Coturnix japonica: one gene and its partner. The protein of the gene in region 1 binds, or shares a complex with, the protein of each later gene. Links are inferred from orthologs where the notes say so. Each region holds a gene or a part of one and is shown in the gene's direction. Other genes may lie near its edges. The genes, in order: ANXA11 and TARDBP.

Region 1 (8,894 bases):
CTTCCATTAATATGTGTGTTACTGTCTGTCTAACCCTAGTGTTTTTGAAAATCAGCTAATATTTCTTCTTTTTCTGTGTAATACCCACCTGTGCACAATACAGTTTATGTTGTTTTATTGACTGGACCTTGGTTATTTAAGTGGCTGCCTCTTCTACTAACGTTGTCCTGTTTTCTACTGGGTTAATTAAAACTTCTTTGCAGTTTGAGCCACTGCAAGAATATAATTAAATACCAGTGTTGAAATTAGTATTCAGACCGGAGATTTCCAAGTCTATTATACTTTAGAGTGTCACAATGAGAACATGCTTTGAAATAACTTATATGTCACTTAATGCAGAGCCTTGAGGTGTTCTGTAGTGGCCCTTCTTTTCCTTATTTCCTAAAGGAGGAAGTCCCCTGCTCAACTAGTGACCTGATTTGGTAACTCTCTATGACGTTACTGAGTGTCAGACTGCTTCAGTTGCTTCATTCTTCATTTCCTGTGGACTATGGGAAGAAGAAGGTGGGCCATCTGTTTTTGTGTCATATTAAGTTCCACTCAGAAACTCTGTGGGGCTGGAAAGTCGCTTATCATGATCAAGAGTACAGTGTGTTAATATAACATATGTTATAATAACATTATACATACCACAGCCAACAGTAGGGGGGATAAATGGCTGATATAGAACCTGTTTGGATGAGTTTCACAGGCTCCCAGTTGAATTACATTCACAAATGCTTAAATATGTCAGCTAATGTATTTGTTTTCTCTTACTGGGCGCTTAAGCTGTGCAGGTATAGGTGGGGTAATATTTTTTCAGGAGTATAACAGGCTAGAGCTAACACTGCCTCTCAAACATTATCAGACCTATAAAGCACTTGCAGAAGAAAAGGAATAAATGCATATGGTATTTTTTTATAGAGTTGAGGTTCATCTGAAGGTCCAGCTGTAGGAGAGGAAAACAGCGGGGAAAAAAAGAATTAGAAACTGCATGGTTTAGCAACAGTGTGTAAAAAAGCAAGTTTAAAACCAAGGAATGCCTAGAAGAAATAACAAAACTGAAGAATTTAAGTGCTTATTTCTTCAGGTGCACATATTCCTCATGTTGCCAAAAATACAATGGAAGTATTTGAGAGACTGCCTTTCCAAAACCCCCATCAATTCAGAGAACCTTAAAGAATCAAGCTCTGAACATGCAGGAAATAGGCCAGTCTGCCTCACCTCTGTCCCTGGAAAGATGATGGAACAGGTTGTGCTGGATGCCATCTCCAGACAACTGGGAGAAAAGGAGGTTATCAGGAGTAGTCAGCATGGGCTCACCAAGGGGAGGTCGTCCTTGACCAACCTGGTGGCCTTCTGTGATGTTGTCACTGGCTGGTTGGATGTGGGGGAGAGTGGTGGTTGGAGTCTACCTTGATTTCAGCAAGGCATTTGATACTGTCTCCCGTGACATCCTTATAACAAAGCTGAGGAAGTGTGGGGGAGAGTCCAAGTCAGGAATCTAGAGGCTCCTGGTAGGAATTCATGTTACGACTTCGTTACTTGTTTGAGTCTGTCATCTGTCAGAGGCAAAGTAGAATTTCAAGGAAGAAATAGCGGGCTGAGGGATTACAGGAATAAATTACTGGAGCTAGACCTGGATGTGTGCATGCAATACAAGAGGATGATCTCTTAGTGTTTTTATGCCCTTTAAAACATAGAAACGGCTTCCAATATGCCAAATAGCTCTAATGTGTGTCATGTAATTATAACCATCTGGTTTTACAGAAAATCTTCCTTTAAAGCTGGTGTTATGCAACTTTCTCTTGATATAACACGCACTATGATATCTTTTTGTTGACAAGAACATTTGCTGCCCATTACGGCTTTGGCAGGAAGAGGGATGTGATCCAGCCAAGGTTCCCGAAGAGCCTAAACTGAAGTTATCGTTCCTGTGTAAAAGTTTCCAGAAATGAAACATGCAAAGCTAATGCCTCATTCCCTGCCTGAAAATGGCACCTAGGGAGCTTTCTGCACAATGGTTTCCTTGTCAGTAAAAAATATTCCATATGCTGCTGTAGCTAGCTCAGTTTTCTGTTTACGTAGCATCAAAGGTGTGGAACTTACAGCCACAGTAGCAGGATAAATAGAGGGATTCATAGAAGTGAGCCATAAGCTGAACTTTACTTGAAATCCACGGAGCATTGCAATCAATTTTAACACAAGCACAGCCAGGTCTGGAATTATTATGGGACTGGTTGCAGCAGCACAAGTTTCCTTATATATCCCTGTTAGCCTAGGCATGATGCTCAAAGGGCTTTATTAACAACAGCGAACAACAGCACTGAAGAAATATGTTCATCTGAATTCCTCTTGAAGAGACGACCCTTCGTAGATGCAGTTCCCATCCATAAAACCAGGTCTTATGCTTTAAGTAGTTTGAGCACATCCATCAGGATGAGTTCTAAATCAAATGGACTTGTTTAAGACATGCATATGAGGAAATCCAGGCTCATAAGGAGGTTCTAAGACCCTGTATATGAAAATCCCAGATTCAGAGAAGAGTTGATGCCCTGCTGTAGTTGCATAACTAACAATGTTATTGTGATGAGTATCTCAGCAAAAAAATAAGTAATTGCAAAAAGTCAGGCCTTCTTGGTGGTTGGTTTTTTTTTTTCCTTTTGACCTTGTTTTGTTTCTCCAAACGCTTCCATGTGAGTGATTCACTCATCTTTAAAGAATGCATGTAGGAAAAAAAAATAAAAACATTTGTATTTGAGGGTTTATCTGCTACCCCTTGTGCTACAAAAGCTCTATGTGGGAAGTCTTCCACCTCAGAACCTCTCATAGAACTTCACTGAAGGAAATGTGTATTATATATGACTTATATAGAGACTTTTATAGACTTCTGTTGTTTTCCCTTCTCCCACCTCCCTGGGTCTGTGTTTGGTGGCATTTCTCACACAGCTGGGTAGCACAGTGCTTTGGGTGGGGTTCTTTTGCAGATGTTCTATGGTAAAAAGCACAGCAGTTGAACCCTGCCATGAAGTAGAAGAAATGGTGGGCCAGGAAGCAGCAGTATGCATGATAGTTAGGGTTGTATGGCTGGGTTATGGTGGGACTTTATCTTCAAGATCTTTTCCAACCTGAGCAGTTCTGTGACCCTGTTCTGTTCTATGATGTTTTCCCAATGCAGGTGAAGGGCCGGTAATAGGAAGGGATCTTAGAAGGTTTAAACCAGTCTGTAAAGCCTGTGCTGTTTCCAGTTTTGAGTCAGCCGTGCTGCCGGCCTGAAGCACAAGAGCAATTCCTGTCCGAAGCAGTCAGCTTCTGCTTTAAACCAGCCGTGCCCAACGGGGCAGCGCGGCCTCCCAGTCACACGGGCCGCCGGGTGGAGCCGTGCGGTTTCTATGAAGCAGACTTTCCACAGTGGAAAGAAGCTTTTGGTTCTGCTGGAACTCACAACCTTGTTATTGAGTCGGGAGCCGCTGGTGTTCCCCAAGGAAACGTTTCACGTCGTAAACACCGCGTGCCAGCCTTCCTGAAAGGAATACGGCTGCAAGACGTGCTAGCAGCGCTGTGTCTGCACCCCCACCCCCTCGCATGGCGCTCGGAGCGAAGCGCCTCAGGAGCGGCCATGGGCTGTAACTCGCACAGCCCCGCCCGGCCTCGGAGCGCAGCCCGGCTCGCCCTCCCCTGACGCAGGGCTCTCCCCGCCCCCCGCTGCGCCCTGTCACCGCCTCACAGCGCGACCGGGGCGGCTGCGGAACGCGGTAGGAGCGGCTGCGGGGTGGGGGGAGTGAGGAGGAAGGGGGGGAACGTCCCCAATGACGGGGTCGGGGCAGGGGGCTGACGGGGCTCAGGGGGCGGTGAGCGGCTGTTGCTGCCTGCGGGACGACCGGGCGCTTCTCGCATTCGTACTTGTGTGCTGTGCGTGTGTCCTTGGTGCGTTCTGAGCTGCTGGTTTTGCTGTGAGGCAGAAGCGAAGGGGGTTCTTCTGGGAGAACTGTCCGTGCGTGCTTTATTTTTCCTTCCTTTATTTATTTATTCCTTTTTTTAACCAGCTTCCTGCGAGCTGCTTGCAGCGTACTTCCCTTTTTCTGGCCCTGTGCGTTCTTAGAGCGTCTTAAAACGGAAGCTGTTCAGCTCCTGTTATAGTTTAATGGTCTGTGAGGCAGTAGAAACGTGTCCACATAAAAAGAAGATGCCATGTACTGCTGTATAGCCAGGTTAGTTGGTGTGGTACCAGAAAATAGATGTCTTTTGGAGACTGTAGTGAGAACATAACGCAGTTCCTCCTGTGAGTGGTAGATAAGTTAACCAAATATTTTCATTGTACCGGTTCTGTTGTTGCTTGCAGTTTGCTCTAGATGTTATCAGTTCGCTACAAGATCTGGATAGGAAGGTAGATCTAGATAGGAATTTGGGGTAAATATAGAGCAGGTCGCAGTGGAGATGTGCTGAGGTGGTTCTAGAAGTCACTTAGATGAAGTGCTTGTGCTGAGCAGGCAGCCCGTCCTGCCCATGTCTATCAGCTGGTGCGTGAGGCTGAACCTGTACTGCTCAGCTGTCCCAGATGTGAGTCTGGGCTGGTGCTCATCACTGCATCATAGGAACACAAGGCCTTTTCAGTCTGCTTTCAAGAATAAAAACCTGGTAATGTGTGCTATGTGGCTGGCCATGGCACAGAGCGGGATCTCTGTGCTGTCTAATCATTACCAGCATCCTTTCTAAGAACAAGGAAGCAGACCGAAGGCCTGCCCAGGCGTTGCTTCCTGGTCTTTGTGCATTGGCTATGAGAGGAAGCCTTGTTCCTCCACTGCAGGGAGTACTCTCTTGAGCGTGCTTGGAAATTGTCACCGTCCTGTCCCTCTGTTCAGGCTTTGTCTCAGCTTTTGGTGGGAGAGAGCTCTGGCCTGGATGCTTTCCTTTCCTTGTAGCTGTTGGTTGGTATTTGTTTGGACACTGGGAGAGATGGACCTCTGCAGGCTTTTGGCTCCCAGCTTCTGAGAATCTTTGCTGTGATAGGCCTCTAATTCACATTCCTGAAGGTACGGGCATATGTTCTGATTAAAAAAGGATGTTGGAGATGTAACTTTGCTCTGGCAAGTTCCTTGGACTCAGATGCTGAAGTTGCCTGAGGAAGACAGTAGCAATATTCTTTTTTATTGTTACTTGAGAGACCAACTTTACGCCTGGGAGATGGGTATGTTCTATAAACATATAAATGTGCTGTGGGGTACTGAGTGCTACAGTGTCACTTTAGTTCTGTAGGATCCCCCACAGAGGGTGCTTTGTGAGGTGGATTAATTACTGTTTACTTTTCACTGAAGATGCGAAAAAAATTGTCTTTTATGGTAGAACTGAAAATAGATTGATAGAAATCCTTGAGGCATTAGTCAGCTGGGAACATAATTTGGGCCATTTATAGCATGTCCAGGAGTCACATACACAGAAGACTTAAAACCACACTGCAGGGCTCTTAGTTTCACAGGGTGTAGGGTATTATATCTGCTGTAGGAAAGAGCAACTTCAATGCTGCGTTGGGCTAAGCAAGTCAAAAATAGATCTTGCTTAGGCTGGTACAATAGCAGGTAGCTGATATGGTGCTGACTGTGGCTTGTCCTTGTCTTACACAGACACAGTAAAGGATGGGCAGCTGACCTGTGATGAAGATCTGCAGCCTGCTGTAAGGAGGCAGATGCTGTTCTGAGCTCTTGTGGTGCAATCAGCAGCCTTGAAGCGGGCTCTGCTTTCTGCAGAGAGGAGTTGTGTAATATATAGCTTTAGGCAGCCTTTTGTTACCGCATCCTAGTAAGTAATTCACCCTGAAGAGATGGAAAAGACCAAGGAGTAAAGTTTCTTCAGTGTTCCCTGGAAAGCAGTCCTAATTAAACAGATTGCTTTCAACCAACAAAGGCTGTGATGTTTTCATAACTGTTGCCTTCAGGCTATTGGAACGTGGTATTGTTGGAGGCTGAATGCTGAACTAAACAAATTGCAGGGTCTTCATGTCACGTTTTTAGGTGTTACCTCCAGGGTGAGCTCTGAGGGCGAGGAGAGGACCTTAACAGTGTCAGTTCTATATTTAATACAAGGCACTCCCTGTTTCTGTTTGCTTTTTGTTGGTGTTTTTTTTTCTCTCTCATGTGCTTTTATGACTGAGCAAACACAGTCCTCCGTGTTCCTGTATCCTCCCACGCAGTATTTATATAACTGGGTGGTGGACTCCTGAATCCTCTTCTCTGTTGTCAGCAATTCAGTGTCCCCCTTCTGTTTTGACTAAGATGTAGCAGAGTAAAAGTTGGTGTGGTGGGCATAGAAAGAGATGAGGTTGTGGGAGTGGCTGGGGAATTGAATGTAGAATGGTTTGCTCAGTTAGAGGAATGGCCAGCAGGGCTTGATGAAGTGATGACGGAGGAGGTTTGTGAGCGTGAGGAGTTGGTGTGTTTGTGGATTTGGTTTGCCTGGAATGGAACCAAGGTGGAAGAAATTCCTTGTGAAAAGGCTTGGACAAGTACAGCATTCAAAAGAAGCAAGTGGAACTTTTTGATATATATAGTAACACTTTCTCTTAGGCTGCTAATGAAGTTTGCCATTAGTTGTCAACCTCAGTATTAATTGCTAAATGACTCTTTTCATTATTATTCTTTAATCAGAAGGGAATGTTCCACATAGGATTAAAAGCGTGCTAACAACACTTCTAGGACACACAGCTCCCATTCTGCCCTGCCCTTCACCACAAAAAAAAAAGCCTTTCTGTGTTTTAATTTGTACCTTAATCTGTATTGAAAAGCATCTTGTTATCATTATTGGATTTATCCATGACAGGCAAACAGTCCCCCCATGATTACCCATGAAGTGGGGGGGTATTTATCTTCATTATAGCAAGTTACATCACCTTATAAGCAGTGGAAGTGCATTGTACTAGGTGTTGAAGTAGGAAACCTTTGTTAACTATTTTGGGTTCTTTGTTTTCTTCTTTGTCTTTTGTGCTGTTTGTGTGTTTGAGTGGTTATGTGTAGTTAGACAAGAGGCTTCTGCCTGTTCTGCTTCATTCAGGAGCTGCTGGGGGGAAAAGGCAGCAGAGTCCCAGCCTGGTATAGGCCATGAATAGGTCAGATTTTATTACACCAAGTAAATTAATAGCAAAAAGAGGATAAAAAGCCCTGGTCTGGGGCCACTGGTGCCCGTGGGGCCCTGTGCTGCATCAGCCTACTCCTGAAGAATGGATCCATGGTGTGAAGCCATGTTGGAAGGGTGCCTTAACAGCTGCAGCCTTTGGGAAGCCCACTTGATCAAAATGCTCTCCCAAAGAAAGGGACTAATAACTACAAAGGCATATACAAAGCAAGTGATGCACAGTGCCATTACTCACCATGCACTGACCAATACAGAGCCAGTCTCCAAGCAGTGGCAGTGGTTAACAGTCCACTTTTATTTTGGGCACTGATGACATGGCATTTGTCTGTACGTTCTGACAGAAGCACTGTCAACTTCTAGAGATCCAATTTATTTCAGTGATCTCCTTTAGGTACGCCCTCTATTACAGTGCTGACAGTGTTGTGTCCTTTCAGCTTCTTACTCTGACCTTGTGCTTCTGCATATGTTTCCATTTCAGTCACCTCCTACGCAGCTCATGATCTTAGTCATTTGATGATGTGGTTTGTTTGTCAACTGCTTTTTCTACTTCTGGTTAACAAAACTGTTCTGCATAGGTTGTGAACTTGGTGATAATTTAATGGCACGGTAACATGCTTTAGAGTGATGCATCCTTAACAATGTAATTGACAAAATGAGGAGTATGTATGAAATGAGTAAGAGAAATAATCTGAGGAGAGACGGTAGAGCTGGTTAAATATCTGAATATATTCACTGGTCCAAAATAAAAAGTCCTTTCCCCAAAAAAGCCCCTGCAACTTGTCTGGTTGTTATCCAGATTGTATTGCCTGGCTTCTGCAAACATACTGCCTGTTGATTTCATGTGGTGTAATTAGCCAGGCGCTGCAGAAAATGACTGTCTCACATCTGCTTTTCAGGTCTTTGCAATGAGTTACCCGGGCTATCCCCCAGCAGGTGGATATCCACCAGCACCCCCAGGTGAGTCAATCAGATGAAGTAACTGTTAAGTGACCCATGGTCCTCACAAGTGAAAAGGTGGAATGAATGAAGCGTGAGTCTGCAGGGTTTTCTGGACACTGGGGCTTCCAGTGGTTTCTTCCTACGTTCAGTTTGGAGTTTTTTGTAGTGGTGTTTAATCTTGGCTGATAGACAAGCTTTAAAAGGTGTCGTGTCTTGTTTCAGTGCAGCTGTGTTTGATTTCAGGTGGCAGTCCTTGGGGTGGTGCTGCCTATCCACCTTCAAATCCACCTTCAAATCCACCTCCAATTGGTCTAGAAAATGTGGCTGGCTACGCTAATCAGTTCAACCCAAACTACATGGCTGGAATGGTGAGTCAGCTTTCATTTGATGTTTCTTACTGTGACTTCTTTAAGTTGTGATGTTGGTACTGTAGACAAATAGTTTACAGCAGGTTTGTTTTGTGCCTTTTTCTAACCTTTGTTTAAACGCTGAGCATTCAGTACCATCTGTTGAAGTAAATGGTTACCATAAGCTATTCCTTATGTTAGAAAGGCAGAATCTGTTGATAAATTTTGTCTAAAGAGCCTAATTTCAGAAGGCGAGGATGTAAGACATGACTTTGCCATGCAGAGGAGTGGGGACGTGTGTGCTTAATACTGACTGTCTGTTCTTAATGTATTCATATTGGCAAACACAGCTCAGGTTTTGCTTATTACCTGCTTTTGGGCCAGTTGAAAAAAGAGCCAGGTTCTGCAGTTGAGGCAAGTGACTCATCTCTGAAGAAAGCATAGGATCAGCTCTGCTAATGTTTAACAGATGTCAGTAAAAACCCTTTACACTGGCTGAAGGAA
Region 2 (8,838 bases), on another chromosome or scaffold:
TTCCATGGCTGTCGACAATTTCTCACATACAGGTCTCGCTTTTCTTTCACTATTACCTGTATTAAGGCCAATTACGTGTTCTCTTCCTTTCCTTGCTGAAAGTCATTTACATGAAGAATCGCAGAGCTGAGGTTACAGATACTGGGGGAGGGAATGCAGAGATATAAAAGTGGAAATTTGGGTGGGCTTCAATTTATGGTGGACAGCCAAAGAACGAATGTCTGATGTCACAGTAAATCATTTCTATTGCAAATGATTTAAAATAATGAAAACCCATATGCATTAAATTTTGCCCCGTACATCCATTTGACATATTTTAAGTAGACAAAAGATAGATTTTACATAAATCTTTCGTAAATGTTCTTTAAAAAAATATCACCGAGTAGACAGTGCAACCAAACCATTTTAAAGCGCTCTTTGTCTCATACTTGAGGCACCGCTTCAGGGTAAGGCTGTAAGAAATTATGCCCACTATTTGAAGGGGGAAAAAAAGAATAAGGAAAGCTCAACAAAGCACCTTTTACATTGATCCTGGCAGACTTTTCCTTCACGCTATTCCCATTCACAGGAATAGTTACTCAAGTTTACCCCAGCCACCCAAATGTTAGAGCTGAAGGAGTCAATCTCCAGCTTCGGGTGTAAATAGGGATGCTTGTATTTGCTGCAAACCAGGTGCAGGTGTAAGGGATCAAAGTCAGCTCCCCAGCACAGCCCTGTCTGTGGATTTAGTCCTTTGGTTTGTGGCAACCTGTGCTGGTGGAGATTCACACTCTCCTTTGCTGGGAGTTACTGCGTAATCTAAAAAGCCTGAATCCCAGCTGCACTACACTGTACAAGGCAAATTCCTTTGGAAGATACCTGCCACATCTTCACCAGGAACTCAGCTCTGAGAACTGACTAGATGCTTCTGAGAACCACAGGCAGACATTCTTCCCAGGCTCTGCTGTGGATGGGCCAGAAAAACGAGGGAGGTGACTTGCTGATGGTTTGCTGGGACTGCCAAACAAAACAGAACCAAGTTAATTTCTGCATGCTCCACGTACAAGATGCAAACGTGGGGCAGTTCCCACAGGTACCAATCAAACAAGACAGTGAAGATGTCAGACGCTACGTGCTGTTGTGCTTTGAACCCTGATTTTCAGCTTCTAAAGGCAAGACTCCTGTATATGCTCACAGTCACCAGCTCCACTAACTGAAATCCTCCAACCATGTTGTCTATCCGCAAACTAAAACAGAAGGGTGATACCTGATGCTGCCTCACAATGCCAGCCACTTGTCCATGAACCTAGAGCACAAAACCAGAGAAAACATTTCCCAAGAGCACTGCTCTGTCTCAGCAGACAAGTAAGAATTGGCAACTGTGTCAGCAGGAGCTGGAACACTACAGCACTGCTGCTTGCTCAGCACAACGAGGTCGTTTGTGCTCGGGGTAGCCGACAGAAGCGTGGGCCTCCTGCTCCCATGGCTTCCACCCGCTGTCTGTAGCTCACAGCTCAGAAACAAAGGTAGCAGTCAGCACCAAACTGCCAGCAGATGCTGCGGAGCTGAGAGTGGCCTTTTGTCACCACTGCTGCCTCTCCAATCACTGCATGTTTTCTCCTTGCCAAGGGCATCCTTCTGTATGTGAGGGGTCTGGGAAACCACACCTGGATGGCTGACCCCAGCTGTCTCAAAGGAACACAAGCTAATCAGCCTCACTCCCACCAACATTCATTGCCAATTGTGATCGTTTCTTCTTCCTCTAACACTCGGCATCTGTCTGGCGATGAAACAAGCAGCAGCAGTTTCACTTCGTAGTGTGGCAGAGGAAGAAAGCCAAAGCTTTCAGAACAGCTACTGGTGCTGGGAGGTCCCAGGCTAACAAGCACCGCGTCCTTCTGGCTGCCTGCAACAGTCAAGCACACAAATCATTTGCCTTCAGTTGTGCTTGAAAAACACATCAGCAGTTCCAGTCACTTTTGGAAGAGCTAAGTAAATAAGGACAGGAAATAAGGAATGAGGAAATTCTGCCTGTTAAAGGACTGAACCATCTCAGGTGGATTTCAAATGCAATAATTGCAATCGTGGCCTTTTAGGATCATGGGAAAGTTGCTTGCAGTGTGGCAGGCACTATAAGGAACTCTTAGAACTGCCTCAACAAAGGGGAGTAGGAGGAGTGCTGCTGTGAGAACAACGGACGTGTTCTCCTTTTGGGGTGACAAGAATAAGGTCTGGTGAGGTGTTTAATCTGTATGTTGGGAAGCTCACAGTAGAAGTTTTTTATGTGTATATAAAGCAAAGTTCTCCTTTGCTTGTGTGCGGAAAGTTCTGCTTATGGTAGACGTTTCTGGGGTGAGGAGGAAGTAATTATTGCAAATGTCCTTGTGATGAAAGCTGCTTCAAAGTGGAAGGGAGAAAGATAAGTATTGTAAAACGCTGCTCTTCTGCGTGTGAATGGATTTTCAGCTTTAGCTGGGAAAATGAAATATTACCCGTCTTGTTCCCTTGAGGGGGAACAGTATCTGTGATATACAGCCGGCTTAATTGAAGGCTCAAATGGCCTTAGATGACAAAGAGAAATGAATAACTGAAGAGTGTCCTGTTCTTTTAGGTAACCACGTGCAAGGTGGGCTTGACTTGGTGTGCATGGAGGACTGTGCTTATGAAGGAGCAGGTAAGGCTGACTGAAAGGATGTAGGCTCTTTTTCTCACTGTACAGTTAGAATGAGAACCAACACTTATGCTTATTTACTATTGGCATAACCAGGCCAGAATCTGATTATGCTGAAATGACATCGTTATTTAAATCCCTTTTACTGATCTAACTGAAGTTAGAAATAGGCCCGAGTACTCCCTGTTTATCTGTTTTGCTTGTTGGTTTGTTTAATCATGAGGTTATATTTAAATGGCCATTGATGGCGGTTTTTCACCCCAAGTGCTTTTGGGAGAGAGAACAAACAGCTGATCGTTATGGAGTTTGTTTGTACCCACGAGCACACTTAACCCAGAGCAGCAAATAGTTATTGTATTGCATTTTCTTTCTTTCCTGTGGGCACACTTAACTCGATATACATGATGGTTAGTACCACGGTACTGCATTTGTCTGCACCCATGGGCACTGTGAATTGCCAGCGTGAGACAACTGGTGTATTAACTAGCTGCTGGCCCGCTGGTGTAGTTACTTCAAGGGCAACACTGTTGTTATCTGCTTAACTTAAATCGAACAGTCATGCAAAATAACAGTAGGAAAATGCTGCAAGAATCCCAGCTTTTACAGAAAAAAGATAGTTACATTTGCTCACTGCCCTCCCCTGGCTCTTACCTGCACAAATCTAGCACAGGGTTGATGTTTACTCTGCTCATTAATAAAACTAGCAGCAGATGCTTTGTCAGATAGAGGTCACTTTGGCTGAATGCCACGGCAACCTCTTCAAATAGCGTTGATTGCTAAACTATAGCTTTGACTTGGAATGGTGCAGTAGGTAATGTTGACATGCTGCAATTACCGCTCAGTCCTCACGGCGTGTTCAGACAACACCGACTACCTCCGTGCTGACTTGGCAACACCAGAACTGGGTTTGGGACGTGTCTTGTGGATGGCTGGAAAATGTAGGAATTTCAAGAGAACGCCTACATGGAGCATTAGCTTATCTCGTCAGCTTGTGTCTTGTCAGCTGCTCTCAGAACTCTGTTGGAAAATGGTAATTAAATGATAAGGCTGAGTCTAAAGCTACCGGGGCACAGATGGGCCAAGTTTCAGTGGTGCCAGAGCCAAGTTTTGCAGTTGTAAGTTTTAAGTGGGAGCTTTAAATACTCAGCAATTCTCTGTGTCGATGCAAGGAACTGGATTGGCCCTACCTAGCAGGAGTCACCTACCTTTACTAACAAGATTGCTTCTTTTTGTTCTTTTTAAGGACAGTGGTACAAGGGGAGTCAATCTGGGTGTGAGCACAGCCTGTGTGTGATCAGAGGCACCAAGAACAGGTGAGATGGGAGCTGTAAGGTGCTGCTTTCCTTACTACAGCACAGCACAGTGCTGTATTGTATTGTATTGTACAATTGTATTGTATTGCTGATTGAGCCACCCTTATCTGGCTGCCCACACACAGCTCAGCACAGACACTGTCCTGCGTGGGGTTCTTACCTTATGGAGCCAGAGCAACAGCAGCAACAACACGAGTGTCCATTAGTTATCATGGCCTGGGACTCAGGAGATCACTATGCAGCATATGGAGGCTTAACTTCCCATTAACTAAATAGAAACTGGGCTTAGGAAGAACTAAACAGCAAGCAGTGTTACAACAGCGAGCATCACCTGCTCTAAACAGCTCCAAACCGCCCCGACCCGACCCGCACCGCCATGACGGACACCGCCACCTGAGGGAGGCGCACAGGGCGGGAACGCCTCACGCCGCTCCCGGCAGCCCCCGCGTGGCTCGGCCCGAACCACGGCCCATTGCGGGGTAACGGCACGCACAGCCCGGCTCCGGTTCTGTCGGCCCGTGCCATTCCGGGACGTCGGGCTGCAGCTCCTGTTCGTCTCGCAGGAGCCGCGCCTCGATCCCGGCTCCCTCCCGCTGCCGGCCGACACGCCCCGATCTTCCCCTCCGCCTCACAGTGGTTCGCCCCGCCGCCCGGCCGCCATTTTGTGCGGCGCGTTGGAGGCGCTGAGGGCTGAGGACGCGGCGCTGCATTCCCGCCCGGTGAGACGGGTAGGAGCGGGGCGGCCGGGGCTGGGAATGAGGGCGGCGGGGATCGGGCTGTGAGCTCTGAGCTCCGAGCTGTGAGCTGTGAGCCCTGAGCTGTCCCGTGGGCTGTTCTGCACTTCCCGGCCCTGTGGGGGCTCTGAGCCCGGTGTTGCCGCTGCGGGGCCTGCGCCGCTCGGGGCGGGGCGAGGCGGGTCGTGCCCTGCCGTTGTGCCGCTCGGTGCCGCTCTGTGCCCCGCTGGGCCCGAGGCGCGTTGTTGGGGCTGTTATTGATGCGTGTTTCTCTCTCACGCTTCAGTGACTTGCAGCGAACATGTCGGAGTACATCCGGGTCACGGAGGACGAGAACGATGAGCCCATCGAGATCCCGTCGGAGGATGACGGCACCGTGCTGCTCTCCACCGTCACGGCGCAGTTCCCCGGGGCCTGTGGGCTGCGTTACCGCAACCCGGTATCGCAATGTATGCGGGGCGTGCGGCTGGTGGAGGGCATCCTGCACGCACCTGAGGCCGGCTGGGGAAACCTGGTCTATGTCGTGAACTACCCCAAAGGTTCGTGCTGTGCCTTTGTGTTTCCATATGAGTGCGCTTTGTAGTCCAGAGATCGATGTGTGTGACAGCAATTGACTTGTGTTCATCCTGCAGGTGAAGTTGAGCCCGCTGGGTTTTCAGATGCACTCAGAGCTTCAATTCTTTAGCTGCAGAAGGGCTTAGATGACAGTTTTATGTTGTGCTTGGGAGAGTTGCAGCCTCATTAGAACTTGTAAAGATGCTGGTGCTGTGTGTACTCACAGACACTTCTCTTCAAGCCGTGCTTTGGTCACAGCTACGTGAGACAAATCCAACCAAAAGCACTCCAAAATAATTAGAAATAGCCTTCTCATTAAATATCGTTGTCAAAAACCCATCTTGTTCCCATCCTCAGTAAACATTACTGGGTGGTCCTTGAGTAAACTAACACAAAACTAACTCAGAATGCATTGATAGGAGGACTTGGTCATTTATAGGAGGACTTGGTAGGTCGTTCTTTCTTCACGCTTGCAGACAGTTGGCTGTGGGTTGTAATGATAACCTCCAACAGCTGCCATGTGTTCTTCCGCTGTCTGCACTTCCTCTTAGTGTTGTCTGGTTTTATACCGCGCTGTTCAAGATTAGTGGAAGGGGTTTCTAAAGTTAGGAGGATGATTTCTAACGTACATCGTTATATTCAGATAATAAGAGAAAAATGGATGAAACAGATGCATCTTCAGCCGTGAAGGTAAAACGAGCAGTACAGAAGACTTCGGACTTGATAGTCCTAGGTTTACCTTGGAAAACCACAGAACAAGACTTAAAGGAATACTTCAGTACATTTGGAGAAGTCCTCATGGTGCAGGTAAAATACTTTTTGAGTATGGAAAGATGTTAAGTAGAAATCAGGGTTCTGATGATAGAAAGTAGAAAGGAGCAGATCTGAAGCTGTGTGCCTTAGAGCTTTGTAGTGTGGGTACAGATGGGAATATTTGGGAGTGGTAATCCACGCAGATCTGCCTAATGGGTACAATGTATTAACAGCTCTTTAGTTTATGTTGCTGATTGTCACAGCTGAGTATATGTCTTATTTTTCAGGCTTTAAAACAAAGCTTTACTAAATTAATTCAGGAACAGCATGTTGCATGCTCTAGGTTACCTCTGTCACCACTGCCTGGCTCTGTCCTGCATGCAGCTGTGTGTGCTTGCATTGTTTATATAGCAGGTCTGGCCGTGTCATTACAGTGTTACAAAGTAATTATACCCTGATGCTGATCCTGCTGTTTTAGTAACTAATACTGGGGCTCAAAGCAGTCAGAATGCATTAAATTTGTAGGTGTCAGAAGCTTGTGCTGTGACTGCATAATAGCAGGGTTAGTATCATAGGAAAAGGTAGTTGTATACAAGGGGGGTAATCAGAGATCTGGCTGTATCCTTTCTGGTGATGATATCAAGATTGATACAGAAGATGATAGGTAAATAGCATGCCATTAATGTCACCAACACAAGCACGGTGCTACTGTGTTCTGTTTTAAAGTCCGCTCTTTTTTATCCTAGGTTAAAAAGGATATTAAGACTGGTCACTCAAAGGGTTTCGGTTTTGTTCGTTTTACGGATTATGAAACCCAGGTTAAGGTCATGTCCCAGCGACACATGATAGATGGCAGATGGTGTGACTGTAAACTTCCCAACTCTAAGGTACTTTCATATTTATGACTACCTTTGTTTTGCCTAACATTCACAACTTCACTTCTATAGCCACTGTGCGAAGTGAGCAGATGAACACGTTAATAAAAGCCCTATTCGTGGTTTTGGAGTCTGAGTAAACAGGATAAAGAAAATAGAGGAGGTGGGTGAACAGGAAGTGAATGAGACGTGTTGGGGATATAGCTAGTTATATCTGCACTCAGTTTTCCAATATGAAGTACAAAATAATGTGTTATTAACATCCAGCAGTTTGTTATTTATCATGCCTGCCACATGAAACTATGGAATATCAGAATGAGTCTGTTCTGATCATGCGGATATGCAGTTAAATGTGCAGCACAGTGACGTGTCCTGCACTGGCCTTGTCACTGCCCATAACTGACTACCTTTATTTCCCTGTTCCCATCTGTACCGAGTTGCACACGTGCTCTCTGAACAGAGTTTCAGAAGTCTGAAGCTTACAAATTAAAACTTCCTTATCTTCAGTCTTCTGAACGGTTGGTCTTCATGTTGAAGTTTCCATTCATTAATTATACTTCTCTCTCCACTTCCCTTCAGCAAAGTCCCGACGAGCCTTTGCGGAGCAGAAAAGTGTTTGTTGGGCGCTGCACTGAGGACATGACAGCAGATGAACTCCAGCAGTTCTTTGCTCAGTATGGAGAAGTGGTAGATGTCTTCATTCCTAAACCTTTCCGAGCTTTTGCTTTTGTTACATTTGCAGATGATCAGGTACGTGTAAAGTGTTTTAACCCCGTGTTTAGACAGCCTGTGTTTCAGTAGGTGACCCTTCAGGGTCCCTTCAGCGATGTTAGCCTGGCTGAGGTTAGGTTACTCAGATGCTGTTGTGCATACAGTTTTTTACTGCAGTTAGTTCTGTAGCAAACGTGAAGATAGAACGCCTCAAATATACTCATGTGCTTCTTTTGCAGGTTAAGTAAATATCTGCTTAGGATCACACGGGCTTATTTTGTCTTGTACTGCTGAATGTTCTTTTTTAAGAAAATACAATAGCCTACATTTAACTAATCCCTTATTTTTTGTAGGTTGCCCAGTCTCTTTGTGGAGAGGACTTGATCATTAAAGGAATCAGCGTACATATATCCAATGCTGAACCTAAGCACAATAGCAATAGGCAGTTAGAGAGAGGTGGAAGATTTGGTGGTAACCCAGGAGGCTTTGGGAATCAGGGGGGGTTTGGCAACAGCAGAGGAGGTGGGGGAGGACTGGGTAACAACCAGGGCAGTAACATGGGTGGGGGCATGAACTTCGGAGCCTTTAGCATCAACCCTGCCATGATGGCAGCAGCGCAGGCAGCCCTGCAGAGCAGCTGGGGGATGATGGGCATGCTGGCTAGCCAGCAGAACCAGTCAGGGCCGTCGGGAAACAACCAGCCCCAAGGCAACATGCAGCGGGAACAGAATCAGGGCTTCAGCTCAGGAAATAACTCTTACGGTGGTTCCAACTCGGGAGCAGCAATAGGCTGGGGTTCAGCTTCCAACGCGGGTTCCAGCAGTGGGTTTAACGGAGGCTTTGGTTCAAGCATGGATTCCAAATCATCAGGCTGGGGAATGTAGACGCAGTGGGCTCTCATACTGACTCTTTGGTGGGAAATCAAATTTTTCTAACTCGTGGTAAGTATCCTGTAAATTACATATAAATTTTTTCCAAATCACTTTGTTCAATGTGCGCTATATTCAGCAGTATTTTTGACGTTTTTCTTTTGTAAAAAACCGACAAACAAACAAAAAAAAATACAAAAAAGGAAGAGGAAGAAAGGTAAAAGGAATTTTATAAGTTTTGTTACGTAACTTGTTGGAATACTGAATGTTTGGAAGTGGACTGCTGTTTGCCTGCTAGGTAAACTAACACTACAATCAATAGGAAAGGGTTCTCCTGTAGTACTTTCCCCCTCGTTTCCTGGCTACCTGAATTCTTTG

The links.
Region 2: the proteins of ANXA11 (region 1) and TARDBP are in contact, whole or in part, in a cryo-EM structure (PDB 9FOR), measured with the Homo sapiens proteins. The link is inferred for Coturnix japonica from reciprocal best matches to the Homo sapiens genes ANXA11 and TARDBP. Residues at the interface, in NP_001148.1 of Homo sapiens: Gly56, Met57, Ala59, Met61, Ser62, Gly63, Phe65, Asn69, Pro71, Asn72, Leu73; in NP_031401.1 of Homo sapiens: Ala328, Leu330, Ser332, Trp334, Gly335, Met337, Gly338, Met339, Ala341, Ser342, Gln343.

What each region holds. Positions count from the first base shown.
Region 1 is NC_029521.1:4,220,604-4,229,497, reverse strand, and holds the start of ANXA11 (annexin A11), read left to right. Parts: upstream 1-3,495; 5' UTR 3,496-3,734; intron 3,735-8,000; 5' UTR 8,001-8,009; coding exon 8,010-8,061; intron 8,062-8,286; coding exon 8,287-8,411; intron 8,412-8,894. UniProt on the Homo sapiens protein: Binds specifically to calcyclin in a calcium-dependent manner. Required for midbody formation and completion of the terminal phase of cytokinesis.
Region 2 is NC_029536.1:3,495,451-3,504,288, forward strand, and holds the start of TARDBP (TAR DNA-binding protein 43), read left to right. Parts: upstream 1-4,425; 5' UTR 4,426-4,691; intron 4,692-4,983; 5' UTR 4,984-4,998; coding exon 4,999-5,236; intron 5,237-5,895; coding exon 5,896-6,059; intron 6,060-6,751; coding exon 6,752-6,892; intron 6,893-7,459; coding exon 7,460-7,630; intron 7,631-7,944; coding exon 7,945-8,475; 3' UTR 8,476-8,838. UniProt on the Homo sapiens protein: RNA-binding protein that is involved in various steps of RNA biogenesis and processing.